Linked DNA regions of Coturnix japonica. The protein of the gene in region 1 purifies or fractionates together with the protein of each later gene. This does not show direct contact. Links are inferred from orthologs where the notes say so. Each region holds a gene or a part of one and is shown on either strand. Other genes may lie near its edges.

Region 1 (15,507 bases):
TATTTAGAGGGTACCAAGACACTCAAATACAAGTTTCCTGCTTCGAATGAACCTCTTCTTTCCAAACGGCATTGAGAGCCTCTGTTGGCTGTGGCCTTTCATAAACCCACACAAAAAAGATAAGGCAGTAATTGGCCTCAGACAGAAAACACTTACTTTCCTCCGCAAGATCTCTTTCTTCACCTAATTCAACTTGTACAGAACTCCATTTCCTGTACCTGTTATTGTTCAGCAGCAGCCAAAGTACCCTCCTCAACAACTAATTTCTCAACCCAGCTGAGCAAGGACTTTGCTTTCACTTCAAGCAAGTCTTCCTGGATAGTCACAATGCTTTCCTAAGAGCTGTTCACAGTTCAAAAAAAAAAACAAACCAAACAAAACCAAATGAAATTTAAAGAAATGAAATACATACATTTTAATTTAAAGAAAGGCCACAACAGATGAAACTCCTGGACAGATGCCACAGTGACTCCCTGCAAAACATTTTAGTGTTTCTAATTTTGCACCAGGACATACTAGCTAGAACTGACTGCTCCTGCTCCTATTCATTGCCTGGTTCTACTTCTATCTGAGAGCACATTTGCTCATAGAACATGATAAAAAGGCAGTTAGACATGGTTTTTTGTAGCCCTAGAGATCTGCATCACTGCCACCAATTCACTCCAGTGTCTCTGATATCTGTTATCACCGCAGGGATGGAAGGTCTCACAGCATCACAGTGTTACAGAGAGTAATTCCTCACCAGTAACAAAGACGTGCATTACCCAAATGGATTAAGGCTGCTAACATCACACAAAAGTTTATGTTGATACTGAGTAGAGCAAGATAACACTGTAATGACTGCACCTACACTAACTAAACTACTTCTGGGATGTTGGTGATGTTCTCATGGTCTACTACGTGAAATGAACTGGACACCCCCACAAGAGACTTCCCAAAGAAAACAGGTGAAATTTTAACCCTTACAATCCCACCAGGCCAGGTAGAATGCTGGCATCCTAACGACTTTTACAGCTGGATTTAAACACTTCTGTTTCGTCTTGAAAAGTCTCAGGGCGTTCCGGACAGCTGCTGCTCCCATTGGGAGCCACCTGCTGCTTCTAAGGAGAGGCACCAAGGTTACTTTCAGCTCCATTTGTAACTGCAAAGTCAAAATATTTACAAACAGGGGCTAAAGATGTTACAACTAAAAACATTACCAGCCACAATTGTAACTGTATCTAAACTGTATCCAAACTGTATCCAAGATTGGACAGCAGGCAAAACCTTACTTTTTCTCCTCCTACTATCACAGAGAATTCACAGCACACACCTTAAAAGAACACGGTGCTTCTCACTTCCTTATGACAGCACTCAAGGTCACTGGTTAAGCCAAAGTTCACAGTGATGCCATGCACTGTGTAAGTCTGCTTACTGTCTGTGTTCACCTGTTGCACTGTTTGTAACCTGGATGCCCCACATGAGCCAATACGTTAAAATACTACTGAGCTATCGAGTGCAGAAGTCTTTCCTCACTTAGTGCCTTGGTAACAGCACTTCCCATGAACCAGAAAAGAACTTAATTCATTGCAGTTTTTCACAACATTTGAAGCCAAATGAAACAAACAAAAAAACCTTGCTTTGCACATCCAAGAATCCAAAGCAAAGACATGAAGACGATGCAGCTACATGACATTTCCTGCCTATTTCTTCCACAGCACACAGCTCAGCAATAGAAACCCGACCTTTAAAGTAACATCTCAGATCCTACGTGTTTATATCCTTTCCACGACAGAGAAAATGAAAAAATCCTCATAAGGACAGTCAGTGGGGTAACTTACAGACTCTAAAGTCAGGAGATGATATCAGGGTTCACTGTGCAAAAGCACATATCACTATTTATGGCTACAGTTCCACTAAGTTTGCAGTTAAGTTGCAAAGGAGCAGCCTGCTGCCCTCTGTAACTGCTGCTTTCCAGCCGAGCCCCGGTTCCAAGCAGCAGATCCAGGGCAAAGAAGTGATCCAGGTGATTTCATTAACATGCCGTAATTGCCAAACCTCACATAGCCACCACTGTATCACCAACACAAAGGCAGGAGCAGGGACTCCCGCTGAAGCTGCCCAACGAGCAGCCCTGGGTTTTAAAAGATCTTTTGAAAGACGGCACGTGTGATACAGAGATCCTGGGCTGTTATGAATACTTTAGTCTGACCTGTACCAAATGGACTAAAACAAATAGACATATGTATAATTTTAGTAGGGTAGACTAAAGTCTACCTGAACTCAGAAAGAAAATTTAATATTAGGAATTACTATGAATGAAATAAGTACAAAACAGAACACTGCCTATCTTGACTACAACTATCAGCTCTGGGGACCTCAGCTCCAGAAAAGGATGTATTGAAATAGAGCAGCTTCAGATAAGATTAGAAAGTATGATCAAAGACATAAGAATGGGTTCTTCAGTAGGGTACAAATAGGTAAGTTAAGACTCTTCGATTTCCAGGAGAAGGAAGAAATTATTGAGGTCTACAAAATCATGGCAGGACCAGAGATGGATCGTCATATTAGAGATGGATTGTCATATTAGAGATGGATTGTCATACTAGAGATGGATTGCTCACTCCCCTCCACAACGAATGTGGTAGCAAAGGAAAACAGCACAAGCCAAATTCTGAAGAAAGAGAAGGTAAATTTGAACATAAGTAGTAGCGCACCCATAGAACTTCTTACAAAGAACAGCTGGTTGCCTGCATACAAAAAAGGGGTTGGTTGCATGAAACCAACAACGAACTACCCAAATCTAGGACAGCTCTTCAATGAAAACAGCTAGAGATGAAGGAATACTCAAGTTATCTCTTATACATAAGCTTTCCTTGTTCTTACCCTTCGCTAAGCATCCGCTCATGCTCCTTATTGGAGGAAGAATGCTGGAGTGTTTTTTCTGACTTCATTATGGATTAAGGCTTTCCCTAAAAGCTGTCAGTCAAAGCACCAGTAATGTGTAAATTCTCCTTTGAAAGTCTCACTTGGTATTCATGATGGTGCTAATCCCACAGGCACTGAGACTTAACAAATATTCTCTAAAGAGAATGTTTTATCATTGGGCTGTGATAGTGCATGACAAAGAGGCAGAAGGCCAGTTCAGGTACGGTAACACTGACATAAACTACCTTACCACCACAACTTACTTGTAAGAAGTACGATGTATCAAATTGTTATATGCTATGATATATTTTTGCCAACAGAAGCCACATGGAACCCCAGAACTTGTTTTCAGTCAGGTTCCCCATCACACAGCAGACCTGCACTCCAAACAAGAGACTGTAAGTGCTGGGAAGTAGATGTGGAAGAACAGGAAAGGCCCATTCTCCTTAATAACACAGAGAGCCCTGGTGCTGTACAACCTAGAAATGCTTTGTATAAGAAAACTAACCTGAAGATGAAATTCACAGCAGTATAAAGTGTTACCCTTCCGGAAGGTAACTCAAATACCCATTTATGAAGGAAGAGAGACCTAATTTTACAGACACTAATACAAGCTCCCACTGTAACAAATGGAGGAGCCAACATCCTGACATTATTGAAAACCAAACCAGCAAAAAACTAAATCAAAAAACCCATCAAAAACCACATAAAACCCAAATTAGAGCAACAAAACCAAAATGTGTGCACACCCTGAAATGACATTTTAATTGGGGCTGCCACGTTACTTCTGATGTAACTTTTAGAGTAAGTTATTTATTCTGCTGCAGTAAGTCTTGGACTGGGGAACTCTGCAGAAAGATGCAGACAAATCAGAGTCCAATGGGAGCTGCCGACAATGTGAGCAAATAGGGTCTGTGAAGAAAAGGCCTATTGGTGGAGTTTAGGGAAGTCTGAAATAAGAGACAGAGGAACAGTCCTCATATCAACAAATGGCACAAAGAGTATAGAAATCATTATCCTGTGTGAGTAATTGAGGGAGGACTGGAACTAACTGGCTTAACTAGAACCAAGGCAAAAGTTAAATATTAAGAAAAGCCTCCTAACTGTACCAGCAGCTACGTAGCACCTATAACTAGAGCAGTAAAGAGGTGTGGTATTCCCCTCTTTGGAGGTTTTTGAGACCAGATCAGACTAATGTTTGTTAGGTATAATTTCAGTATATTTATTTCTGCTTCAGAGCAGGGAGTGACCTCACCAAATCCGTTCTTACACATCTGCCATTCCTTCTTTTATCACAATGAAATCTGTTTATGTCTGTTATCATTCCTGAGCTTCAGAATTACAGCCTTTGTAACTTCAACTGCTGAAACATTTGAATTCTATTACTGAAAGCACCACTGCTGTCAAACTGTTACTGTACTTAGCAGAAAATACTTCAGGAACATGTAAGCAGCCTATTTTACTACTGCAAATAATGCACCGAAGCGGACACATACGTGACTGAATGGGCAAAAAGCGAGTGAGGAAAGACCAGGAAGTGAGGAAAATGAGGAAACAGAGGCTGAAAACAAAGCAACAGCAAAGGAAAAACATCAGTCTGAAGAAAATGGTTTTGCTCATGTATGAAAAACAAGGTGACATCTACCAGCGCTGTTTTAAAGCATGCTGCAGGCACCACTGCTTCAGCCTGGCTTAAGCAAGGCCAACTTCAAGCAACCTCACAAAGCTGGGCTCCAAGCTGGGCTGTATGTGCATCTGTGGGGAAAGTGCCTCCAGAGCAGAGAGAAGTGCAACATCCCAACAGGATCCTCCATTCATTGGTACCAAAACTTCAGCAGCTCCTCAGAAAATACAGTTAAAGTGAATGCATTTAAAACAACTCAGGAAAAAAACCAATGCAAAAGTGTTCTAAGGCTTACGAGCACCCACAAGCTGCTTGTGTCTGCATTAATACAGTACAAAAATCAAGATCTCACGCTGACATGCATTGGTGAGAAGCACAACCTGCACACTGTATTCAGACTGCTGCTCTCAGCTGTATCTTGTAAAATAGCACTGGGAACGTAAGTGCAATGAGTGCGTGTGACCTATTTCTTAACACTACCAAATATTAGAATGCTACAACAGCAAAGCAGGATTTATGGCTTTGAAAAATAAAATTACCTTCACTCCTACAGAGAAACTGGCGTGGTTAATAAAACGTCACTGAGATATTTAGATGTGATATTATGTCAGCTATATGGCTGAATTCCCAAAGCTTAAACTGAATTCCTAAACACTGGGGACAGCAAATGTAACGTTTGGTAATGAAGGTAACTAACGTAAATAAGCACCATAACTTTTAACCTTTACGTTGTGTTAAATGAAACTCCACTCATCCCAGGCACCTGCCTATTTACACGTGTAGGAGAGCTCCCGTGGTTCCCGAATACCACAGCTCTCTTAGAGAAAGTTTCCTCTGACAGTTTACAAGCCTCAGCGTGCCAAGGCAAGCAATTTGGGAACATCTGTTTTCTTCCCCATAGTCTTCCATTAGCAGCAGGTAAACCACTGACAGCTCATGGAGACGGACGGCTCATGGACCGGCTGCTCAACAAGACAGATTTTGCACGCATTCCTCTCCAGAAATGAGTCAATTTGACCGATATTACTTTGCTATTCTCCTTTATCAAAATGCAATGAAACCCTGAAGAAAACCCAAACCCAAATCAATGACAAACGGCCTCATTATCTGAATCGATAACCACATTCAATACGTTTTGGTGGCAATCGTGACAGAACAAAATGTGCACAGAAAAAACAGAAATATAGTTAAGCTCTCATCTTTGAATAGAATGGGAGGATAGTGGGCATCAAATAAACACCGTAAGCATGCAAAAATCTTTCATATAGTATTTCTGTTATTTCCAAATGACAATAAAATGTAAGGACTAAAAACACAAGAAAATCGCTCCGAGGTGTTGCAGTGTCACATAAACCCCAACTCATCAGCGCCCATCCCCATCAAACGATCCCTGGAGGAATTCCATAGGACAGAACACTTGCTCTGGTTTTCTGCTAATAAGCACCACGCAATGGAGGAGGCAGAGACATTGTGTGAGCTCGGCGTGCAGACGTTCATTCTGCACACGCAGGCTGTGCCGTAGGCACACAACACGTTTCTCAAGGCCTCCTGCACCCCGCAACGTGCTGCATTGTTCAAGGGAGAAAAATATCTGAGAACTGAGAAGCGCTTCCCGAATGGTCCGAAGGCCGCTTCTCTCAGGGCAGCCTCTGTCGCCTTCCACCATCCTCACAGAGAGGACACAATGCAGCTCAGCAGCACCCTGCTTGTTTAACGCTTCCATCTTCAATAATTCCACAACCGTGAACTAAAACCGTATTTACGAACCGAGGAAACCAGAGAGAAAAAACCCTCGTGGGTGCCACAGTACACCGCAAAGGCAAGATGGGGGAAAAAAATAATTACCGTGCATTCACTTTTTTTTTTCCACCGTACTCGACGTTAATACCGTGCGGATTCTGACCCACATCTCCAGCTCTGCTACGGCAGCCCCGCACCTCAGACCCCCCCAGGACCCCGCCGTTCCCCACCGCCCCCTCCCGCCTCCCCGCAGCCCCCCGCCCGCGGGTCCGACCTGTGTGACGGCGATGGCCGGGAAGCAGCGAGGATCCCCCCGCGCTGCCCCACGGCGGCGGGCGCAGGCCCGGCCGAGCAGGCGGAGCGGAGGGAGCGGCCAGGTTTCCGGAGAGGAGCCCACCCCCCCCCGGGAGGCGGGGGGGAAGGGGCCCCGGGCCCGCACGGTGGGGAAGGGGAAGCAAGGAGCGGAGCGGCGGGACAGCGAGGGGGAACGGGGCCCGAGGGCGCCGACGGGGCCGCGGTCGGGCTGAGTCCGGGGGTCCCGTCAAACGTGAGGCGCCGCCGACCGCAGCCGCTGCCAAGCGAGAGCTCCGCCTCACGTTCCGCCGAAACTCGTGACGTCGCCGCCGGGAGGAGGAGGAGGAGGACGGGACCAACGTGAGGCGGCACCGCGTCACGGCACGAGGGCGGCCGCATCATTCTGCGCTTGCGTATGGGGCGGAGGGGCAAAGGCGGAAGGGTCTGCCCTCACCGGAGGATAAAAATAAATGGCAGAAGTTGCAATAAAGCATATTAGTTATTGATGCATGCAGTGCAAGCACTACGCAAGCAATGGATGTTGGGAGGAGGAAATGACAGAATCACAGAATGACCCGGGTCGGAAGGGACCTCAAGGATCATGTAGTTCCAACCCCCTGCCTGGCAGGGCCACCAAACATACGCCTTTACTAGATCAGGTTGCCCAGGGCCCCGTCCAACCTGGTCTTGAACACCTCCAAGGACGGGGCATCCACAACCTCCCTGGGCAGCCTGTTCCAGGGCCTCACCACTCTCCTAGTGAAGAACTTCCCCCTAACATCCAACCTAAATCTTCCCTCTTTTAACTTAAAACCATTTCCCCGTGTCCTGCTATTGTCAGCCCTTTCGAAGAGTGACAGGGTAAGCACATCTCAGGATAGCCCGCTCAAGTGATTGACTGCAATCTGGCAGCACGGCTCTATCTTGATTCCAGGATCAATACCTCATTGCACTAAGAGGTTCTCACCTTCTAGACATGCTGCTTCAGACAAGTGCCTGTATTAGTTAACGCTAAAGCCATCGCTTTCAAACACTTTAAATAGGCATAAACCAGCTCCTTCTAGTGGCTGCACTGTCGTCCTTCACTCCCCCTCCTTCCAGGTCAGTCTCCCTGCCATTCCTTCCTATAGCTGGCACTACATTACCACGTTGATACCATCTTTTGTACTACAACCAGAAAATAATACAGTTACAGACCTATGAAATCGCTTATTTAATCAGAAGGTGTAAGAACTGGCAAAGGAACATGCATAGACATAAGGCTTATGAAAATTCCCCTTTGAGGAGCTGTTTTCATAAGTGTCAAGATCTACGATGCATATTCAGATAAAACACCAGCCCATGCAGCAAGGTAGCAGTTGATAAGCATCCATTTATCAGTCAAATGATTATATGATAGCGGGTAGGCAGAGTAGGAGAAGGTTTAGCCAGAGGTAAATGTTAAAGCAACTTAGGAGATTGTTACTGGGCTGTAACATTCTACTCTCTGCTCATCTGCACTGGGCAGTAAATGTTCAGATTTAAGTGTTTGATCCATCAGTCTCCTCGATTCCTCCTGAGGTTCCTCAGCCATTTTCCCACATTCCCCTCCGTTGTGAAATGAATAAAAACAGAACAATCTCTGAACTTCTGTCTGAGACACCCAAATCTTGTCCAGGTCAGCAATGTTTTTGTTATCACACCTTTTTTTCCTCTAAAGAAAACAAAGTAAAAAGAAAAAGCCACACAACTCTGTATGCCCTTTGATCAAGAGCTGTTGTCACAGAAGCATAGGAAGAGCTCTGCTTCAGCTGATATTATCTGCACTATGCAGAAATCTGAAACATTTGTGCTGCCAGCTGAAAAAACAGCAGGTTTCTACAAAGTGCTGCGAAACTTAAAAAAATAATTTGAAAATAGTTTTAATCTGCATACAAAGTCACCAAAGAGCCAAGGACCAATACAATTCTCCATTCGGAGAACTAATTATTTCATCTTCTTACTGATGCAAGAAGTGGTGAGCTGGGGGTGAGCACTGCAAAACCATTACAGCAAGGCAGCCACTTCTGTAATATCTAATATAATGGAATGTTTTGATATTGTTCACAGCGAACCTCAACACATAGAGAGCTTTAAAAAATAGTAAAACGTATTGCAGAAAGCACTCGAGCACTCTGATGTTTTCCCTTCACCTTTCAAGGGTGTATGTTCTGTATTCATATGCTGTACTCACCCCGAGTGTTCTGAGTACGTCTCCTATTGCAGCCAGCTGCAGTGCATTATGGCTCCACACACACCGGCTGTTTCAGCTTCTTGTCAGGAAAGAAAAGCACACGCAGGAATAAGCGTCTTCTAAAGAACTGGCTTAGATCTGAAGACATCTATTGCTTTGCCTGAAGGTTAAAGAAGATGAGGTCAAATAAAAGCTCGTTTTACTCAGCATGGCCCAAAATGTTTGTTACAGTTCTTACCTGTGAAGGAGTTCACTCCCAGCAAGCTGAACATGTCTCCCACACCAGAGAATGCTGCCCTTCCTAAGGTTCCATTTCACAGATGAAAATGATGCATTTCATCATCAATATTTATAAGCTTCCCCTCTTCGTGAATATTCACGTTCCAAAGTTAAAGAAGAGATTTGCAAGCTAAAAATACTTGATTTCTACCTTTATACTCAAATCCTGTAGAGAACATTTATTAGATGTAATAGAAGTAATTGTTTTATCAAATCACTTCCATTTCATGTTACACCTACATTTCATGTGTCATAGAAACTCATAGTCAAATGTGAAATTCAGCTTCTCTAATATCTTAAATGTGGTTAAACAGGGTTAAGACTTAAGAACACAGAAAAACATCTCAACAAACTCATTTGACTTAAATTCAAAGGGCTACCATGGTTGCTATCCAAAGGTACATTTCTTCCAGAAATTCTGTGCGCCCTGAATTAACATTTACAATCACCAGAATAAAAAATAAATCACTCACAAGGTTTGAAAAAAGCTTATTTCATTATTTCATTCTGGTTTTGAGCTCCAGCCCCATCTCAACAACCCCCTCTTCCCCATCTCAACTTTCCCTTCCCCCTCCTCCCCCAAAATCAGTCCTGAAGTCTTCATAAACAAACCTGTTTTTTTCATGTATTTTCCAGCACTTTAATTAAAGGCAGAAAGTCGAGCACCTTTGGAGGGATCACACAGCTGGTGGACACTCCCATATTCAATCCAAAATTCAGTACTGACGAGGTAACTTCTGTAGCAGCAACTCGATTCCACAAATTTCAGTTGTTACAACAGTCATTTATTTTAATACTTTGATCAAAGTTATCAGACATGAGAACATTTGTCTTAAAGTAATTACAACAACCAGCCTCTTCAAGTAATATATTCTAAGACTTATTTGCTTGTGATTTGTTGGCTTTTTTTTTTAATGGAAACTCTCCATTGAGAACAAGCATCACCCCTGTTTCAGGAATGCTGATGAAAAAAGCTGGTATCTCAACAGCACATCAGTAGAGAAGACAGTGTGGATAGAAAGCATTTACACTGATAAACGTAAGATTCATAAGTTTTTCCTTTCACCAGTATAGCAAATTGCACAAAGCACTGCAATATACACTGCACCTATGCTTCCAGGTTTTGCTGTGAGATGATCAAATCCATACAGTTTTCCAAGAGTGTATTGTACAGCTTATTATTTGATTATTCTATCAACGAATTTAAGTGGCAGCTGCTCATCTCCTGAAGTCATTTTATCGGCAAACAACTGGAAACATCTGATACGCTTCATTAGTTTGAAGCTGTAAAAACAGTATTCCGCTATTTAACCGGCCTCTGCTTTATTTTATTTCCTCCCATCTCAGATAAGCACTTTAATCAATCCTTAAAATCATTGTGAGCATTCAGATTGTGGCTGAACTGAAACTATATACTTCTAACAGCCACTGCAAGGGTTACTGATGCAGGTACCAATAACAAAGACTTAAACTTCCTCCCCCAAATCACTCTGTGTAAAATGATTCTATAAAATTCTCTTCCTGTCCCTTCAGTTCAAAGTAGGTGTCTTTTAACCATTCCTGACTGAGATCCTTCCTTACTTAGTAGTGTCAATGAAGAATCGATTTTACACCTTCCAAGGGCCAGCAAGTGTTTGTTAGTGAAGATGTTCTATGGACCTACTCAAGTTTTAAACAGGAGAATGTGAGACAATGAAAACCTATGTAGTTATGTGAGGGGGAAAAAGAAATCATGTTACTGGTAATTGTAATACCAAGTTACAAAGTGAGATTATCAGCAACTGTGAAACCAGGAATAAAATGACATTTCGTTCTACTACAGCTTTGGCTTGAATTCACCAGAAATAAGCTTTTTAAGCATTTCAGAATTTCTTCCTTCTGGTGGTGAGGGCCATCTGTTGTGATCTGAGGAAACAAAACAGTGGGTTTAGCTGATAAAGAAAGTGGGCGTTTTGGTTTTGCATGCTCCCATTGCCCAACTTCAATCACGGTAGGGGCATTATTTTTAGCCCATTTCTTACCTGGTATTTCTAAGCTACTGCCATATAAACTTTGGCCACCATCTATAACCATGGTTATCCCAGTTATGTAAGAAGCAGCTGGAGATAGCAGGAAACACACTGCAGGAGAAATCTAACAAAAATGACAATTTCAGTCCTTCTTAAACCTCTGGCCATCAGTTATGTCCAAGATGTTCCTAAAAATGGACACAGGCAAGGCACAGCTCTGATTTTTACTCAACTATCAAAGTCCCAACAATCTTAAAACCACACTTCCAGCTACCAACACCAACAAGGTAAAAGCTGAGCAACGGTGAGCTTTCAAGTACTTTTAAGATACACCTTTTCACATTAATCCTCCCCGATTAAAAAAACCAAGTCAACTTTCCCAGAAACACAGGCCAACCACGAGACATTTTAGCTACAACAGCTAAATAAAAGTCCCCCAGTTGACACTACTGCACATTTCTACAAGCTTTTTCTTTTCTTTATACTACACCAGTTGAAAATCAGGTCCTTAATAGTCTCCAAATAATGAAGCGGTTTTAAAACAGAGACACAGAAGTAGGAACATCACAAATGTTCAGAAATACGTTACCTCCTCAGGAACTGCTGATCTCTTAGCAGGAACCTTCGGTATGCTCTTCAACCACATAATTACACCCTGTTCTCCATAGTTGGCAACAGCAGTTTCTGAAAATACTATTCCCTACATTAAAACAACAACAACAACAAAAAAAGTTCGCTTTCATATGTTAAGTTGTGATTAAATTTTAAGCTTACTGGGATTTTCTATGGCACTAACAATCCCAACACGACTTGAATGCAAGTATTTAACTTGGATGAAATAGTATAATTTACAAAAGAAGGCAACTGAACAGATAGTTACATCCCTGTTCAAACACACTAATTCACATTGTTCTAATCCTTCACCGCCACACCAACAACTCTTAAGAAACTCAACAACTGCTTTGAAATAACCAACATTTCAAATTAAATTGCAACAGAAAGCTACAGGAACCCCAAGAACAAGTTCTTATTGTTTTTGTATATAGTCTGCAATAATACTAGATTGACTTCATTGTGAATTACACAGGCGTTTTGCAATCAGATTTCAAACTCTTCCTACTGAGCTGTTATAGAAATCCTTGTTCTGATGATTTTAAAATCCAGCTTAAACTCCATAGAGAGGATGAATGCAATAGTAAGAGAAAAAGGGTTCTACAGATGAATTCTGATACAAAATTTCGGACTCAAGTTTCAATAAGACAAAAGCATTTGAATTTGTTCATTAAGAACCTTTCAGTATTTCTCTAAGATGTGAACAACTGTGTTTCGGGAGCTAAGGAAGAAGCTCGCTTGTAAAACTATTTTATTTCCTTCTCTACGCACACTTGCCCTGCATGTTACTATGCCCATGTGAGACAGCAAGTTCTGCATGGTTAATACAAAGTATGTTCACAAAGGTGTCAAGTATCACCCTAACTAGAAAATAGATTTTTGTCACTTGCATAATTAAAATAGCAAAAAAGCCAAACCACTTAAGTGTCTGCCTGCCAAAAATCTCATCTGACAGATGCTATAAAGTATAATGAGTATGAATCATTAGATAATTAGCATGCATTAAAAATATGCACACATACTAATGCTGTCCTCATTACTTATTTCCCTAAGTCTTGATAAATCAGAAAGCAAACAGGAAAAACAAGATAGTAGACCTTAATATTTAAGAAGTCACCAGAGTAGCCTCACAGAGGCTATTAAAAAGAGCCACTTCCTGGGTCTCCCATCAAGCATTTTGTGTTATGCCAGGAGAAAGCTAATGAGGTATTTTAGTGCAGGACATCTGTATACCCTGCTTCACCTCCTACACTGACAGGAAAGGGATCTTCCTTAAAAGATACTAATAAATCTGAGATTTACTAAACTGCAAGATGAGAAATTCCAAATGTGGCAGTAGCTAGTTAAATGTTTTCCCTTTAGTTTTCAAGACAGCAAATGTGAAAAAGAAACAGTCATTAGGAGTGAAGATAACTTTAATCACATTAGACATCATCTCAGACTTCAAAGCTAGGGCCTGTTTATAGCCCTGTAACTGCTGCATCACATGCAACAAAAATACAACTGGTGTTTTCACAAAGTTACTTATAACTGCAACATCTCAACTACTTCCTCAAAAACATGGCAGGCGTATTTTGCTGACCCATGTAGTGGCATCCTATCTGTGCATACTTCATAAGAAAAAAAAAATGAATTCCAGATGTAAAAATGTGTTTTCTAATTTCTTTAAGTGAAGATACATCTCCAACACTGTCTTTTCACAACTAAAACTAACCTAACTTGACAAGGAGAAGATAGAAACATGAAAGAACACATTCAGAGATTCTCAACATAACTGCGAATGCAGGCAGAAGCCACAAGCACAGATGAACCATATACAAAAAAAATTTGTAAACCATTTTCCCCACGTTTATCTCATTATCTAAACAACACAAAACACACAAAGCCCCTTGGAAAAAAGGGCATGTATGGAAAGGAAAGTGTGTGGGTGAAATGTATGAGGAAACTAAAAATTCATAAATAAAAATCCATAAACAGTTGGAAGCTCTACGTTTTGAAATCCCTTTCAGTTATGGAGCATCAACCATAAACACATATGATAGCAAGTTGAATCACATCACTTGCCGCTACTTACAGGAGCAACGCTGTTGATTCGCACCCCGCTGTGGGCCCATTCTAAAGCTAAAGTCTTGGTCAGGTTATCCACTGCTGCTCTTGCAGCTCCTGAGTGCCTATTAAGAAAAGAAAGCAAAAGAAGCACCTTTTCCCTCAGCTAAATGCTCAGTATTAATATCCCTGCAGCCTTACTAGGAAGTCAGAGTAGTGTTCCATGGCTGGACCAACCACTCAAGAGGCACAGCAATTTTCTAGTTCTTAAACAGTGAAGTTGGGGTCAAATTTAACAGACCTATGCTACAATTTCCTTAAACGAGTGTCAATTATGTAAGAATTTAGTTTGAAAGTAGTCTTACCTATCCATCCATACCTATATACAAGTTACCTGGTGAACTTTTCTCCAAGTTATTTAGAATTAATTTTTTACTCTTATATTCTTTGTTCAACTCTCCCATATTCTATTCATAGTGACAATTCAAACAGATATATCCAGAGCAAAGAAACTCAAATGACTGTAGCTTCAGCACCACCATGTGGATCTTCACATTTTGTACTGCTAAGAATAAGCCAGTAAGAAACTGAGATTTGGAAAGATTTAATCCTGAATGAGGCATAGGGAAGTTAATATAACACTTGTTCAAATTCTATTCAAGAAAATACAAGTGAATACACACAGAGTCAAATTAGAAAAAGTAGTTTCAAATAAGAAACTCAAACCTCAGAATTCTTCCCCTCTGGAAAATGCCAATGCATAGCATTCTCACTACATCAAATTTTCATTTAAACCAGTGTTTTCTGAAGAATATTTCTCTCACACAAGTTAAAGCTCTTGTTGGAAAAGCTTCAACCAGAAGGCTTACATCCATTTTGAAGGTAAAAAACAACGTGAACAAATACAATCAACATCTGCCTATGAAGACCCTCTATTTTCATGCAGACAGCTGTGATCATTTTTTGTCAGTATAGATGAACTACAAACATGACATTTTCTGTACCATTCCTCCACTCAATCATTATTATTGTTATATTATTATTATTATATATATTATTATATATATTATTTTTATATTATTATTATTATAGCAGAGGAAAAAAAAACAATTTCCTGCATTGGAGACCTTTCCATGCAAACATAGTAAAATGCTATGTATGTTCCTACTACAACACCTATCCCGCACCCATTTACTGTAATTATGTCATCAAGATCTATGCACTGACAGCAGAAGTAAAAAACCACCAGATGCCAAGCTCTTGCAAAGCCATCAAAACAAGTAAAGGTTCCATGTCAAGGCAACCAGTTCCACTAGCACCTTGTTCCCAATGAAAGCTTTGCTAACAAGTTCTGCTTCAGTTTCTTACAAAGTAGCAGAAAGGATCAGAGATATCCTTCACTCTTGCAGGCTCCATTGAATTAATAATGACTCCCACTCATTCAGACAAGTATTGCTTTCTTGACATTAACTACTGTATTTCTATTACTCAGCTGCTGCACATTATACACCTCTCCTAATCACAGTATTTAGGAGTAATGAATAGTTCTATGGGGAAAATACAGGAAAATGTAAAAAAAATTATATGTATATTACGACATTCCAGGAAACCCATTTCTCACGGCAGCAGTAATGTTGACAATGGCTCCTCCATGTTCCTGCATCCAGGCATTGTACACTGTGTGAAGGAGGAAGATAACCTATAAATACCTGAAGAAGTGCACACAAACAAACCTGCTAACTGGACACTAAATCTGGAGTCCAACTATAATTACGCTACAGACT
Region 2 (15,678 bases), on another chromosome or scaffold:
TGGGACATCCCTCAGTGAGCAGTGCCCCAGCAGCACAGTGTCGTGCGGGGAGCAGTGGGGTGTGGGGAGCAGCCTGTGGGTCTTCTTTTCCTCTGCTTCCCAATGGCAGTGCTATGTGGGGCCATGCTGTGGCTACAGCGCTGTGTGGGTGATGCTGCCTATCACTGAGATCTGTCTGCTCAGTAATTGCATTGCCCCTCCATCAGCAAGGTTCCAGATTTATTTATCTGATGTTCTGAGGACAATTTAACTTAAAGACACCTTGTTCCTGCAGCAGCGACTATCTGAGTGTTCCACACTATAAGCTCTGCTAGAAAATGCTTTGACAGCATTGTCAAAGCCTGTATGAAAAGCTGCATAAGAACTGCTTTCCTGAACATGCAGAAAGCAACAGCAGAGATCAGTTGCACAGACAGCTTTGCTGGAAGCATTACTTCTCTTACAGTGTGCTGTGTGAGCCTGTGCTCGAGTGCAGTTCTCCCTCACTTGTCCTGAGTTCGTCCTGCAGTGGATGAGCAAAAGTATCAGCTTCATGCTGCAGCCTTGCAGACTCATGCATTTTCCCCAGCCTGCCCCAGCAGCACCTCAATGCTCAGCTCCCTGCTGCTCTTCCAGATGGTAATTAAGCTGAAGAATCCTCCCTTAACCCAAAATGTAGGGCAGTAGTAATTAGTGTGAATCCTGCTGCTGCTCGCTTGCCTTTAATTAAGCTCCTCCAGAGGACAGGTACTAAACGAGGTGTCAGCACTCACCGGGTGGTTTGTGGAGTGAGGTTTGTGGGGTGAGGTTTGCAGCACAGCCACTGCCTGTTGTGCTCCAAACACACAGTTGTGCTCTAGGCATCGCTCTTGGAGCAGAGGATCGAAGAGGTGCCACATGCACCTTGGGCTGCTGCCCCCCACTGCTTGGTGCCAGGGCACTGCTATTATCTGCAGCCTGGCTGGGATATGGGTATCAGCCTGAGCTGTGCTGCAGGGCAGGGAGGGCACCACAGGTCCCCAAGCAGTCCTGCTGTAGGCAGCTACAAGCTGTCGCCTGCAGGAAATCACCTGTGGCTGCTGGCAAATGTTTTCCTTTCGTCGAGCAATGAGGTTTGTGCTATGAAATATTTAGTGAGAGCTGGCTGGTTACAACAAAGAAACGAACAGACATCCTGGAAAAATAACGTGTAATTATTGCAAAGTATTTTACAACCTACCAAGGCAAACTGCAAATGTGCTGTTGCTTTGTTAGGAAGGCAGCGGCTCCAGGCTGGGCTGGGTGTTCTCAGCAGTGCTGCTTGAAGCTGTGATGCAGCAGACCAGACCCATCAGCAGCTCCAGTTGTGCACCTGCACCTTTCCCTTTCCCCTGTGTGGCTGCAGCCAAGCTGCCCACTCCTTCCCCTCCTAGGCTGTGAGTCACTCCTCTCCCTCGTCTCCATCACTGCCTTTGAAGGTATTTATAAACCATGTTCATCTCCCTGCACCCGCTTCAGCAGACAGTGTAAATTTAGCATGCTTTTTCGCTCCACACCATCCTCCTCATCCTTGTGGCCATGCTCTAATGGAAAGCAATGGGATTGGCATCACAGCAGGTGCCACTACCCCATCCCACCTGGCCCCTTCATGCACCATTTCTTGGGTGTTTTTTTTTTAAGCATACCCCAGTGATCACTGTGCTGATTTCTGTGGATCTCTGCTCTTTGCTCTGAGACTTCTTTATGTTTAGGATTGGGTTTGGTTAACGCACTGGGGATGCTGAGTGCCTCACTGTGCCCATCCTACAGCTCTGCTGGCTTCAGTGGGGCTCTGAAAATCAGCTGGCAGTGCTCTGCTGCTGCAGAACTGGAGCTGTCTGGAAGTGCATTGGCATCAAATAGGAAAACTGTGGTTGGTGATGCCAGGGATATCTGTGTGCCCTGTGCCTGCCTGGTCAGGCGCTGCTGCTGCAACACATCACATGATGACAACTCATGGCTCACCTTGGAGTCGGTCCACAACGCAATTGCTGTGAGGGCCAATTAATTTGCTGAGCATTGTGGTGGTGTTGTGGGAGCTGCTGGATCGTTATTTGCAGTTGTTTATGCAGGAAGAGGGCACCCAGCAACACTGCCTGGCTCTGGCTGTGGCACAGTGGGCATCACCTCAACACAGACAGATGTGGGGACCCAGCCCAGTGCTTGCTGGGAGAGCAACAAATAAAAACAGCAGGAAAAGGAGATCTGTCTAAGTTGCTAACTGAATATGGAGTTGTTAGCTGTGCCTTTTGGAGGCTGCTAAGATGGGATGCTGACACTTATTAATTTATTGCCAGAGGTGGTCCAACCCGAGCTGCACACCATATTAAATCAGCATTGTAGACACAAAGATTTAAGTATCCAAATAGATGTAACTTGTAGCAGACACAGGAAATGATCTTCTTGCTGTGCAAATTGCAAATTGCTCCAACAGGCACCGTGGCTGCTTTGTGCAAGTTTAAAAGATGGGGAGAGAAAATCAGCAACACATTGACAGAGTTGGTATAAGGCAACAGCTCCCAGCCTCAGCACTGCTTCTTTTTGCTCTTGTCTTGCAGAACAAGGTGCTGACGGTGGATGGAGTGAAGGTGAAGCTGCAGGTGAGTCCCTGGAGCTGTGCTTACAGTGTTCAGGGTGTTGTATAACCCCTTGGAGCCACAGGGCTGGGCACAGCCCCAAGAGTCCAATCTCCTCTCATGTTTGGAAGCTGCCATTGTGCGTGTCCCCACTTTTCCAGCTGTGTTGGCATGCAGATGTGCACATGTACACATGTGCAGCCCAGCTGTGCCAGTAGTGCCCATCTTGCCCTGATAGCAGCTCAGTGCTCTGGAAACACTACTTACTGTGCTAAAACTGGATCAATTCAATACGTGGTCCTTGCGCATCCTTCCACTGGTAGATTTTCAATGGAGCTCTTTGTCACACATCACATCCTTGCAGCCAGATGTGCTGATGAACAGGGAGGTGCTGATTGCATATTTATTGCACTTATCACCTCTTACCATCCTCAGAAAGCTCCTCTGCAGCTGCAAACTGCTCGTGTGCAAACAGATCAGCCCCTGGGTTGTTGTTAGAAGCAAAATGCTGAAAAAACTTTGTGGGGTTGCAGGGTGCGATGGTCGTGTGCTGTTTCCATCCTGTGAGTGGTAGCGTGATGCTCTCACCCCTCTCCTCTGCCTTGTAGATCTGGGACACAGCCGGCCAGGAGCGCTTCCGCAGTGTCACACACGCATATTATCGTGATGCCCACGGTGAGCACAACCCCAGCAGGGCTGGGGGGCTCGGGGAGCACAATGTGGTGCCAGCACTAACACCCACCACTCTCTCCACAGCCCTGCTCCTGCTGTATGATGTCACCAACAAGGCATCCTTTGACAACATCCAGGTATGTGCGGCACCTCCCGGACTGCTCCTGATGGCTTCAGGCAGCTCTGTGGGTTTCTGGGTTGCTGTTGTTGCTCCCTAAGCCCTGAACCCACAGCTGGTGCTCAGAGCAAACCCATGGGTCACTGAATGCAGGTAGCATGGAGATTTGGCAGCCTTCATGATGCTCTGTGCTAGAGATGAATGGGGAGCCTGGGGAAAAAGAAAGCTGAAAGGAGCTGTGGCTGGTGCTGCCCTGGAGCAGAGGTGGCACTGTGGGTGGTGTGTGCCAGCAGTGCAAGCTATGGTCATTCCCAAAAGGCTGCAGTTGGTGCCACGTGCCCGGCTGGCAGCTGCTGAGAGGCTGCTGATGTGGAGGACACACAGAGAACATTTTCCCTTTCCTGGCAACAAGAAGGGCCAATGGATTCAGTTCAGTGGCAGATTTATGCCATATGTAATTATAGCACCAGCTGGAGAGCTTGCTCCTGGTGAACAGGGGCAGCCGGATGCCAGCAGTGAGGTGCTCCCTTGTCCCCACTCTGCTGCAATATATCCCCATGTTGCCCCATTGCCTTGGCAGCAAACCTGGGCAGAGGAGAGGACCACATCCCACTGTCCTTCATTCCCTGCAGCCCCACAGGTTCCCCACACATGGCACCCAATGCCCAGGGCTGGGCAGCCCCAGCTGACTCCTCCTATTCCTGGAGCCCACCTCACTGCAGCCCATCTGTGGTTGTCTCCCTCCAGGCATGGCTGACAGAGATTCATGAATACGCACAGCAGGACGTGGTCCTTATGTTACTGGGAAACAAGGTGAGTTGGTCCCACAGAGCTGGTCCTGTCAGGATGCTATGGATGTGGGCAGGGGTGGGTGCAGTGCAGCCATGTAGCTGCAGGTTTTGGGCCAGCAGAGGCACAGAAAGTGGCCACCTGTCCCAGGGAGGGATGCTCTCATCACCAAAGCTGTGCTCCTGCCCATCTCCCTCCTGGTGCACAGGATCTGGCTCCTGCTCTGTGTGCTGCTGGGCTGCAGAGTCTCCCAGGAATGCTTCATTGAATTGAGGTGCTGGAGATGGAAGCAGTGTCCTGTGCTCACCCCGCGGATCTGAGCCCCAGATCCCCTTTACTGCCTATGTTGATGGGATGGGACAGAATGAGACCTTTCCTGGGGCATGGAGCTTATCTAATGCTGATCCTCCCTTTGTTCTTTTGCTATTGGCAGGTGGATTCAGCCCAGGACAGAGTGGTGAAAAGGGAAGATGGAGAAAAATTGGCTAAGGTATGGGAGGTTCTTTTTGCTACGTGGGGGTATTTCTTATGCTTAGACTGGACAGACAGCACAGCAGCCACAGGGACAACTGCAGAGCGGGATTTATCCTTTATACCACTCTCTTCTCCACCATCTGCTCATCCTTTAACCCTCCGCTGCCCTCCTTGGTTCTATGCCTTCACATTTCTTCTGAAGCTCTGTACAAATGCTGTCTTGTCCTGCAGGAGTACGGGGTGCCCTTCATGGAGACCAGCGCCAAAAGCGGCCTCAATGTGGAGTTAGCATTCACAGCTATTGCAAAGTAAGGGGGATAAGGGGGTCCCGGCTGTGGGGAGGGTGGTCACTGTGAAGGGGCTGATGTCACTCAGCTGGTAGCAGGCTGCGTTGGCAGAGAAGTAATGTGCTTTCCCCTTCCTGCAGAGAACTGAAACACAGGTCCATGAAGCTGCCCAACGAACCCAAATTCAAGCTCCATGATTATGTGAAGAAGGAAGTGAGAGGCTCGGGCTGCTGCAGGTTCTGATGTGCTCGGTGCATTTGTACAGAGACTCATGCCACGTGTTTGTGCGCCACGCTCTCTCCTCTTGGACAGTGTGTGCATGTCTGTCTTGTGTCTGTATCTGCGTAAAAGGTGAGCTGAGATGTGGGGGGTGAAAGCAGCAGAAGCTCCTCAGGCTGGCAGACAGGCTGGCCGTGCTGCACCACAGCTGCTCCCCGAGCCCTGCAGCACCCACAGCCCCACAGTGCCCCATTCCCCACAGAGAAGCAGCACCTCTCCCAGCTGCTCCACTCCTGCCTTGCTCACAGCCACTTCCCGGTGCAGCTGCGGCTCCTTCCGGAGCGATGGGTTCCTGCACTGGTTCAGCAGTGACAGTGCTTAGCCCAGAGCATCTTTGGGTGTGTTAGTGTTAAGAGTGATGATGTGGGGGAGTGCCTGCTCCCCACCAAACATCTGGGCAGGAGAAAGCCTGAGTTCCCTTCTCCCACACCCTTGGAATTCAGCTGTTCAGATCCTGGGGCACGCAGGAAGGCTTTGTTTTCAAGGCAACCGTTTTTGTAGCTGCTTACTTCTGTCTGTCAGTCCTCCCCGTGTTGTAATATACCTCCTCGATGAAGACTTCTCCTCCCTGCAGAAGACAAGAGCTTAGATGTCTGTTTGTTTGAGTGAGCTCCTGCAAACACATCTGTTGTACAGAGATCTCCCGACTGTTTATCTATTTGGTAAAGGCTTTGGTTCTCTTACTACAGCCACTTCTAGTACTTTAATGGGAAGAAAGCTAATGTTCTGCAGCTTATTCTAAATACCTTTATGTAAGTGTGATAACATTTCTAGACCACAGCAATGCTTTGCTATCTCTGAAGTTCTCTTGGGACAGCTCTTTCTTCTAACAGAAGAAAGACGAGGAGAGCGCTGTAGGCATTGATTGTACAGGTCTAAGACTCTCCTGCCAGCTCTCTTCAATGGACTCCTCGCCCCTTTTGTCTGGTGCCAAGCATTTGGCTTATGCTTTTTTTTCCAAGTTGCACTTCAAAGTACAAATCTGGATGCTGTGTTTGGCCTTTGGCAGTTTTCTTATTCAGCAATTCCACACGCACTGACACCAGGTGCCCACTGCATTCAACATCCCTGCACTGCTCTAAATGGACCACTGAAGTTCACTCCCCAAACACCAGCTTTCTCAGCAGTGAGTTGGGGTGCAGCTGCCCCTCGTTGTTCCAGCTTGAGCTGCAGCAGCATTCCCAAAGGGCACAAAGACCCTCAGCACAGGAGCCAGGCAGGCAGTGACAGAGGAGACCCCTCGGAGCTGCAGTAAAATAAGCAACGTGCAGAACAACTGCTGAAAAAACGGGTCCAGCACAGTAATAACACAGAGCCTAAAATAAACCTTTTCATAAATAGCTTTTTAGGGAGAAATGTCTTTAAGTTGTCTTATTTTTGTTTAAAAAACCCATTCCTGGGGGATGTTTGCAGCACTCAGCCTGCTGCCATTGCGCATCCCTGGGCAGCTCCTGCTCCCTGCTGGCAGCCAGTAGGCAGGACCTGTTTCTCATCAGCCCTGCCACTCACTCCTTAACAATCACCCTCTCCAGCCTCCAAGCGTCACTGTAGCTGCCCTGCACGATGATCAGGCACTACAAAGTCAGTGGAAACCTACTGAACTGTTTTGTGCTGCTCTGGTGTGCTCCTATGCTGCTTCCCAATCAGTACCTTTCACATGATGCTGCTTAACAGCTACCTCCGTTCTCACTCCGGGCTGTAGCACATGCTTGCTAGCTAAGGTTAAAGAGTGGGACTAATTACAGCCCCCAGCCTTGCCATGGAGGCACAGGAGACAGGCAGCTCCCACACCCAGCTCTGTTCCCAAGCCTGCCTTTGGTATTGGATTGTCTCACAATAACCATAGTGTAACAGCACCCCCTGTCCCCATGCTGCTAATCCCCTGCAGACACTCCCCTCTTTGGGCAGGAATGCCTTGTATCTTGATGAAAAAGCTGCCAGTTACTGGCTCTGGTTCTTTAGTGGGTGACCAAAAGCAAACTAAGTAATATAAATAGAGAAGATGCAAATGCTACTCTCTGAATATACCTATGGGGAACCTAAGCAATGCAGCACAAGCATCACAACTGCATTTGTGGCCTCTCCTAACACACCCACACTGCACTGAGGCCCAGCTCTATCCCATCACACACAATCTATGTTCTGCTTGTCCCCATTGCCTGCACACAACGTTGCTGAAGCCTTCCCTCAGCTCCAGCCATTGCTCACATGGGTCTCGACTGCCACCCAGCGATGGAGCAGCGCTCAGTGCTCACACAGGCCAGAGAACACAGCATTATTTGCACTTCTCATTTGTGCTGCTTCGTTTACAGCTTTAATTTAATAAATTTTTGTACTAATCTCTGGCTATGTTGGCTATTGTCGATCATAACCCAGAGCCGAAGGTCCAAACCTGTCTGTGGTTTCTCATGTGACGCATAGAATGCACAAAAACAGAAGTTTAAGTCTTATAAAAGCTTTATTCGATCTATAAGCAATACAGTCAGCCCGGTACAGGGCTCCCACTGCTCCTTATGGGGCTCCCATTGATCCCTATGGGGCTCCCATTGATCCCTATGGGGTCCCATTGTTCCCTATGGGGTCCCGTTGTTCCCTATGGGGTCCCGTTGTTCCCTATGGGGCTCCCATTGCTCCTTATGGGGCTCCCACTGCTCCTTACGGGGCTCCCACTGCTCCTTACGGGGCTCCCACTGCTCCTTACGGGGCTCCCACTGCTCCTTATGGGGCTCCCGTTGCTCCTCACGCCGCTGCGATCCGGCTCCCGTCGGGCCCTAAGGAAACAAGGCCTCACAGTGAGATCAGGCCGCACCGCCCGGCCCAGCAGCACCGCGGGGCCTCGAGCCTCAGCCGTAGTGTGTCAGCAATGGCCGCGGCCACTCAGACGAGGTGTCAGAAAAGTAAAGCTAAAATCATCCCCGGCTCGTCCCACCTCACAGCGCCCACCCCCAGCGAAGAACCAACACCACTCACCTCCCGCCTGGAAAGGGCGAAACGTGCGCTCGCTGTGGAATTTATACACACCCCACCGCCGCTATTGGTCAGGCTGCCCGTGGATCCAGCCAATCCCAAGCAGCTGAGGTGATCACCGTCCCGCCTCTCCCCTCGCTTATTGGTCGACGCTTTTCCTCCCTCCAATGGCGCGGCGCGGCGCAGCGTGGCCCGAGGCGTGGTGTGCTGTCTCCCGATTGGTGACGAGAGAAGCCAGTAGGAAGAGTGATTATAGCGCAGAGCGACTGCAGGAGAGCCAATCAGCGCTCTGCCCAAAGGCCTGCTGGGAATTGTAGTCCTAGCGTAGCAGCATCGCGGTGAGGAGCGGACTGGTAGGACTACAAATCCCAAGGAGCGCAGCGCGCCGCTCTTCTGGCCCGGGCGGCAGCTGAGACGAGCTAGAGGGAGGGAGTGAGGGAGGCCTGGGGCCGCGATGTGCCGGGATCGGGAACCGGCGCTTCGGCCGCCGCCGCTGCCAGGTACCGGCTGGGGGAGCACGGGGCGGAGCTGAGGGAGCGATGGGAAGAGCCGGGCCGGGTAATGCGGGCTGCTCAGTGTGGGATATATATGGGGTGGGCTTCTGTCAGGGCTCCCGAGTGGTTCCTTACACTGTACGTGGCCGTGCTGTATTGTTGTATATGTAACAACTCAGGCTGTGCTGGGCCCGAGGGACGCGAGGAGAACCGTGTTATGAGCGGGGTGTGGGGGCAGCAGGGCCGGGCTGGGCGCTGTGCTCACAGCTCTGGGCCCTCACAGCTGCCAATGGGGGCCATACTTCGCTCCTACCACAAGGTTTGGTCTATTAGTTTCCCCCCGGTTTGTTTCCCCCCTGGTTTGTTTCCCCCTGGTGAGGTATCGCAGCCTGCACTAACAGCCAGCTCTTGTGGAGCAGCTGGTGCTTGTTGGTTGTGAGTGTTTCTCCCGCTGGTCCCCACTGACAGCCGCAGTGATTCGGTTGGTCCCGGTGTATGAGGGATGGCTGTGAGAGCCCTGAGAGAGGGAGGGAGGCAATGGCAGGGAGGCAATGGCAGGGTTGGCTGCTTATATGGTGGCTGCAGGAGCTGTGTGAGAAGAGAAGAGAAGAGAAGAGAGGAGAAGAGAAGAGAGGAACGGAGAGGAGAAGAGGAGAGGAGAAGAGAAGAGATCAGGGGATCTGCACTGTATGGGGTTTACAGCCAGAGAGGTGTCAGCTCTAACCCAGGCCTAAACACTACAGTGCTCTGGCTGCGTAACCTCCCAGCTCATTCTCTCCTGCAGGCTGTTCTGTGTGCATCCTGCTACTGTAAATTGCTGCTTTATGCTCTTGCAAGCACTGGTGCTTGAGTCACCCCCGAAAGCTGCTGTGCTGTGCTGATGTGGACTGACCACGAATTCAAAGAGAAAAGTACCGTCCTCATCTTTGTTGCATGTCTGGTGAGAGGAAATCAAAGAGTTCGGGGGTTTCCCAAGGGTCAGGCAGGAAGCTGTAGGATCTGGGTGCTGCTTAGTGCCCTGCAGGCTCCCTGAGTCCTGGGGTGCCTATAAGTGCTTTTGTCCCAGATGGAGCTGTGAAAACACAGGGTAAATCTGGCCATGGCAGCACAGAGAGCTGTGGGTGGGCTGGTTCTCGGTTCCATACGTTTAGCAGTTGCGGCTGAAGTTGGGTGGTGTTCAGCAGTGACCTCTTGGGCTGAGCATCACCTGATCCTGAAGCATGTTGTAGCCCCGAATGGCACTTCCAAGTCCAGCTGTGGTAGGAGGAAGGCGCTTGAGAGCAAGTCCTGGTTTCACTAACCCAATACTTGAGTCATATGGACACGCTCAGGCTGTCAGACCTCTTCCTTCCCCCATTTTATGCCTAGTGTCATCCCTCCTGTTCACTCTTTCACCATGGGCAGTGAAATCCATGCTGGCTATGTCCCCCTGCCCTGGGACTGACTGGGGACATAACAGCTGCCTGGAGGAGGCTGTTGTACAGTGGACCCCCATCCTCAGGGCTATGTGCTGCTCCTCACTGAAGGCCCCACTGGGCAACAAGAGAATGCTCTTCCTTTCTGTGCTAACGAGTTAACTTAGTTAACTGGTTTTCCCTGGAGCATCTCTGCAATCACAGCCTGTGTCACTCTTTGTTCAGCTGCTCAATATTCAGTTTTATGAACAGTTTGGGAACTACCTAAAGAGGGTGAGGCGCTCAAACTCCCTTCAGTGTGAATGGTGGATGATACTGTTTCTGCGGTTGGATTTCTCAGCTTGGAGGCATAAAGCAGTGCTTGCTCAGGTTGTTTTCTCTTAACCTCCCTGGTCTGTGAGCAGCTCAGGGCAGCACGAGGATTGGCTGAGCTGTGGGATTTTCCAGCCAAATTTACATGTCGCCCACTGCTCTGCATGCCTTTCTGTTTACATCACTAGGGAGCAATACACACATACACCACGCAGATAGCGGAAGAGGCATTCTGACCGAGGGAAGCCTGCCTGCAGCTCAGGAACTGGATCATGGTGGTGTGTCGCTGGGCCCCGCTGTGCTGGGGCTGCCAGGGGTGAGTCCTGCGGGGTGGTGTGGGCACAGCACAGTTGTGGGAGCAGCAGGGCAGCACAGTTGGTTGGATCCCACAGCTCAGGCATGGTGCTTGCTGCCAGCAACGTGGAGGAACTGTGTGGGTTCAGAAGCAGGTGCCTGTTGCCTGCAGTGAGTTGGAGCAGTGTTGAGCTAGATTTGTGATCCTCCTTTGCAAGGACACATAATATATGTGCAGCAACGCAGTGAGTGATTTCCGAGGTTGTTCCCGGTGGTTTCAGAAGTACAAAAGCCCTCTGTGTCATTTAAAGAAGTGGTGCTGGTGAGGTGAGGCAGCATCTCACTGCCTTTCCCTTGTGTCCCAGAGCATTGTGACTTTGGATCTTTAAAGTGCTCTGATTGCACCCAGAAGCCAAACAGGAGCATGTCGTGGAGTTTTAAAGCTTTGGAAGATGTTTGGGGAGAGCAGGGGAAGGAAGTGTGATACTTGGTGCACTTTGAGTAATGATGACAGGCTCGGGTTTCTTGTGACTTTAACCTGGCCAGGTTACTTTCTGGTTTTCTCCATTGCAGCCTTTCCCAAGTACAAACAGATTAACCTGGCCTCAGCCACCTGCACGGTGCTGGCAGAGCTGAGAGGTGAGCGAGGCAGTCAGGAGCTGCTGGAGCAGGTTTTCTGTTCAACCTTGTGCTGCTCCCGTGTTGCTCACTGAAGCTTTCCATGCATAGGCTTTCCTTTCTCATGTGCTGTGCTGCCAGGACAGGGCGTTTACAGAAGTGCTCCATGGCCTTTGCTGCTTACCTGGTATGCCATAGAGTTCCTCGTATGTAAATAGTGTGTGTTGGGGCAATTCCTTATTCCCTTTGCTGGGCTGTGCTGGGTTTGTAGAGAGCTCTGAGCCTGACCAGTGCTATTTACAAGTTTTATTGTGCATTTCTTGTGGGAGCCCTTTGCCATTTCTAATGGCTCCCAGAATTGTGAAGGAAATGGAGCTCTTCTGTCTATTGGATTCTTGTTCTTTAAGTGAGAGTGAGGCAAAGGTCAGAAGTGTGCAGCACTGTGCTGTATAATGGCCAGGTGTGAGAGCTCTGCTTGTGCCCATTCCAGCCAAGCCAGCAGCGATGTGCAGCCACTCAACCAGCACCAACCAGGGCCTGGCACTATCAAACTTCATCTTCAGCCTCATGTGCAAGGAAAATGGTATGGAAGGTGGATGCTTCCTAAAATGGAAGTAAAGCCTCAAGTATAGCTTTTGTGATGCAGAAAGTGCATTGAACATTGGCCTCTGCTCTGACTCAGTTTTAGTGTTTTGGGGAAAATGAGATGCGTTGTTCCACCAGAGCAGTCGCTTTTGATCCTGTTATAGCCACATTTGAAAGTTATTGCTTTAGGTTTTAGCGTCAGGTATCACAAATAGCCAGTCTGCCCCAAGGGTTCATTAACCTTATGGAAGACAAGGACATTTCCTACAGAAGCATTTCCTTTTCTGAGCTGTATTTGCAGAAAGGAATGGCAGCATTCAAACAGCTGCGCTTCTGTCACGCTGCTGGATGTGCCCTCTCAGCTCTGCTCTAAAATGAAGCACCGGTAAAAGCAGCAGCAATTAAAAACATCACATTTATTTTTCTTGATGACAGCGCTGTACAGCTCTGGTCTCACTTCAGCTCAGAAAACTTTGTATGGCTTTTAAAAGCAGAGGAAAAAAAAACTTGTGCATGATGAAAAGCCTTTCTGTTCTGCAGAAGCAAGGAACCACCAGCTGGAAGTGCCGTGCTCTGTTGGTAGGACTGAGCTTCATTTCACGTTTGATCTTCTGGCACTGACGCACATCTCAGCACACATGGCTGGCTGTGTCCAGGTCACCCCAGAGGTGCAGGAGGTGCCCACAGCTCCGTGCTCAGCTACAGCTCTGTGCAGCTGCTCTGCAAATGAAGGCTGTCAGCAGGGAGCACGTGAGACTGACCCCTTTCCACCATCCATTTGCCTCACGATTTCTGAGCATTCAGAGTAGATGGATTAGGAATGTGAGGAGGCATGTCCTCGATGGATCCTTCCATATCCATTTATAGACCTGTTGCACATTACTGAGTCCAGTCCTTTCTGAACCTGTCATGACTGCATTTCTCTACAGTGTGCAGCAGCAGCAAGCGCTGGTGTTCCCTGTGAGCAGGGTGAAGGAATGCTTCCTATTGCCTGTGTTCCATCAGCCTCCTGCTAGGTTCACTGGGCACACTGTGACAGAAGGTTGGGGGAACAACAGGCCCAAATTTGCTTTATTCATAGGCTTCCTGACTTTGTAAATCGTAATCAGCACAGGAGGGTTTGTATAATTTGCGCACTTGGAGATTTCACTACTTATTCCATAGATGACCATGTTGAGTGAAGTTTACTTAGCAGTGCTTCTTGGGGATCCTGTATCTGAAAGTTATTGCTTTAGGTTTTGGCATGAAGTATTGCAAACAGCCTATTTATCCCAAAGAATCATTAATCTTACAGAACAGAAGAACATTTAATACAAAATGATTTTCTTTCCTGAGCCAAGGGATCACCTGAGGAGCACCCGAGGAGCTGCACCCTCTCCTTCCCATGCTGTGACTGCCCTTTGAGATGTGTCTGAGTGATGTGTAGCTCACCTGTGTTCTCCAGGCTCGTGTCCTACAGGTCAGACTAGATAATCGTTGTCATCATCACAGTGTTCTTTAAATGCTGTTGCTGAATTTCAGAAGCACTTATGAAGGAATGCTATTTCCTCTAGAGACACTGAGCAAGAAGGCTGTGGGATGCAGAAAAGCTGGATTGTGAGCTCATGAGCCATGCCTTGTGCGTGCTTTGTGCACAGCCCTCCCCTTTCAGTCTACAGTGGACCACTGAGAATCAGTTCACAGCTGGAAAACAACGAGAACACCTTGTTAATGCAGAACAAGGTGAACAGAGCCTGCCCAAATTGGACCCGCAAGGAGAGATCTGAGTCCCTTGTTCTCTGTGGGGTGGTGCTCCATGTCCTGCTGAGCAGGGCTCCTGGAGCAGCTTAGCGTGCTTCAACTTTTGTAATAGTATTTCCCCAGTGATGCACCAATCCTCCGAAGGATGTGTAACCCTTCCTGTTCTGGCTGTGGCGTGGTAGAGGAACAGAAACTTGTCTTTTGCCACGAGTACATGGGCTGTGAAATAAGGAACTTCTCACTGGCACATCCCATTCCCAGTTTGTGGGGTAGCCCCACGCCTGCCTTCAGCAGCACACCATGGCCCCCCTACCAGTGAGCACCCCTGTGGGTGGTTTTGCCAGCCCTGCTGTGGGTGAATAGCTTCAGAGACAGTGTTAGTGAATGGAGGGAGGAAGAAGGAGGAGCAAAGTAGACACAGGGCACATGGCTGAGCTTTGTGGGCACAAAGTCCAGATTGCCCACAGTGCCCTGCCCACACCAGGAGCTGGCTGCAGGGCCAGGGCTGGGCAGATTACGTGGTATTTGTGGAGGATGTGCCCTCTGCCATCCTTCCTTGTGCCGTGTGTCCTCTCAGAGCCTTGGCTTTGTTCTTAAGGATGGCTGTAAGGATCTTCTGCTGAGCACTGGGAACAACTGGGTGAGCCCTGTGCGATGCCCTGCAACAGGAGGTGCCAGCCTCCTCCTATGGGCAGCAGCCGCTCAGCAGGGCCCTCGCTCATTCAGGTGCAGTGCTGGGGCAGCAGCAAGAAACAACTGGCAGAGAACTGCTGCTGCCTTTCTGGGCTCTATAATGGGGAGGAGGGCTGCTTTTCCCAGCTGTCTGCAGCTACTGTTGGTTGGGTTTTTCCTTGCCTGGGTTACAAAACCAGGAACTTTAGGGCTTTTCTTCTCCTTGTGTCTCCAATGCCTGCGTTGATCCCCATGTTGTGCAAATGCTGAAAGCTGGCCCTTCCCCTACTTTGCATCTGGTTGCTATCAGCCCTGTGATTCAGTGAATAATGGGTTCCCACAGTGTCCTTTTTCCAAGGGAGATTTCCCCCCCCTTCTTTTTACTGTCAAAAAATAAACAGTGCTCCATGCACAGAGAGCCTGGGTTACAGGCTGGGTCCTTGCAGGGCTGTGCTGGCTGGACACACAAGGGCTTGCAGCAGTTCTTCATGCACAGGAGGGAATGGAGCTTGCCCTCTTGCTGTAGCTTCTGTTTTGTTGTCAGCCACGAGTGGGACCCTACATAGTCCTGGGATGGAACATCAGGATGCTGTGTCCCGTGTGAGCACTGCCAACCTGCTGCTCTGTGATGCTGCTGGAGATGCTCTGGATGTGGTTCTGCTCAGATCTGACAGTTCCAGGTGCTAAGCCGAGGTTTGGAAATCTGGAGGGGAAGCTGGTATTAACATCAAGAACACCATCTCTTCTCCACTTCCTTTTAAGTTCTTTGATATCAACTGGCAAAGGCCTTTTTCACTGCCTTGTGACAGAGTTCATCGGCAGGCTGCTCTGCAGACATCTGCTCTGTTGTAATCGCTCCTGTATTTGATGGTTGCAGGGATTTGGGCTGAGATTGGCTGTTTTTGTGGCAGTTGGTGTTATGAACGTTGGCACATATTCCACTTGATGTTTTTTCCATTGCTTGCATTCTCCTGGTTTCTATTCAGACGAGATGCAGGGCAGGTTACCTCCTGCTGCTCACAGGTAGTTTGCTCAGCCATGCTGCAGGGTTTGGGGTGTGAACAAGGAGTGGAAAATCCCTGTGTTCCAACCCGTGCTTCCTTCCTTGCTTTGGATTTATCCACCATCTATTGGATCTTGCATTCCTCTGAGTGGGCTTTGGAGCAGGGGAATGTGCATTTTACTGGAGAGGTGCCTCAGGTTGTCCCTGTTGCAGGCAGTTTAGAACTGTTGGAGCCGCACTGCAGCTGGGAGGCAGCTCCTCAATCTGCACGATGCAGCAGCACGGTCCTGCTTCGTTCCTGCTGTTCTTGGACATCAGCAACTCTGCTTAGCATTTCCTAAGGGATCTGGCATTTACAGGCAGCCAGGACGGAGCTTCGTAACGTT

Evidence for each region.
Region 2: the proteins of MAP3K2 (region 1) and TRAF7 purify together in Homo sapiens (affinity purification with mass spectrometry; 3 studies listed by BioGRID and IntAct, with this or other methods). This does not show direct contact. The link is inferred for Coturnix japonica from reciprocal best matches to the Homo sapiens genes MAP3K2 and TRAF7.

What each region holds. Positions count from the first base shown.
Region 1 is NC_029522.1:23,203,883-23,219,389, forward strand, and holds the start of MAP3K2 (mitogen-activated protein kinase kinase kinase 2), read right to left. Parts: upstream 9,585-15,507; 5' UTR 9,016-9,584; exon of another isoform or gene 8,938-9,015; 5' UTR 8,778-8,937; intron 6,898-8,777; exon of another isoform or gene 6,546-6,897; intron 1-6,545. Other genes in the region: PECR (peroxisomal trans-2-enoyl-CoA reductase), read right to left, coding at 10,873-10,961, 11,078-11,189, 11,655-11,765, 13,752-13,848, 15,319-15,400. UniProt on the Homo sapiens protein: Component of a protein kinase signal transduction cascade. Regulates the JNK and ERK5 pathways by phosphorylating and activating MAP2K5 and MAP2K7. Plays a role in caveolae kiss-and-run dynamics.
Region 2 is NC_029529.1:6,356,765-6,372,442, forward strand, and holds the start of TRAF7 (E3 ubiquitin-protein ligase TRAF7), read left to right. Parts: upstream 1-8,532; 5' UTR 8,533-8,659; intron 8,660-10,568; exon of another isoform or gene 10,569-10,696; intron 10,697-15,678. Other genes in the region: RAB26 (ras-related protein Rab-26), read left to right, coding at 2,556-2,597, 3,182-3,248, 3,330-3,382, 4,111-4,176, 4,586-4,642, 4,858-4,934, 5,054-5,156. UniProt on the Homo sapiens protein: E3 ubiquitin and SUMO-protein ligase that plays a role in different biological processes such as innate immunity, inflammation or apoptosis. Potentiates MAP3K3-mediated activation of JUN/AP1 and DDIT3 transcriptional regulators.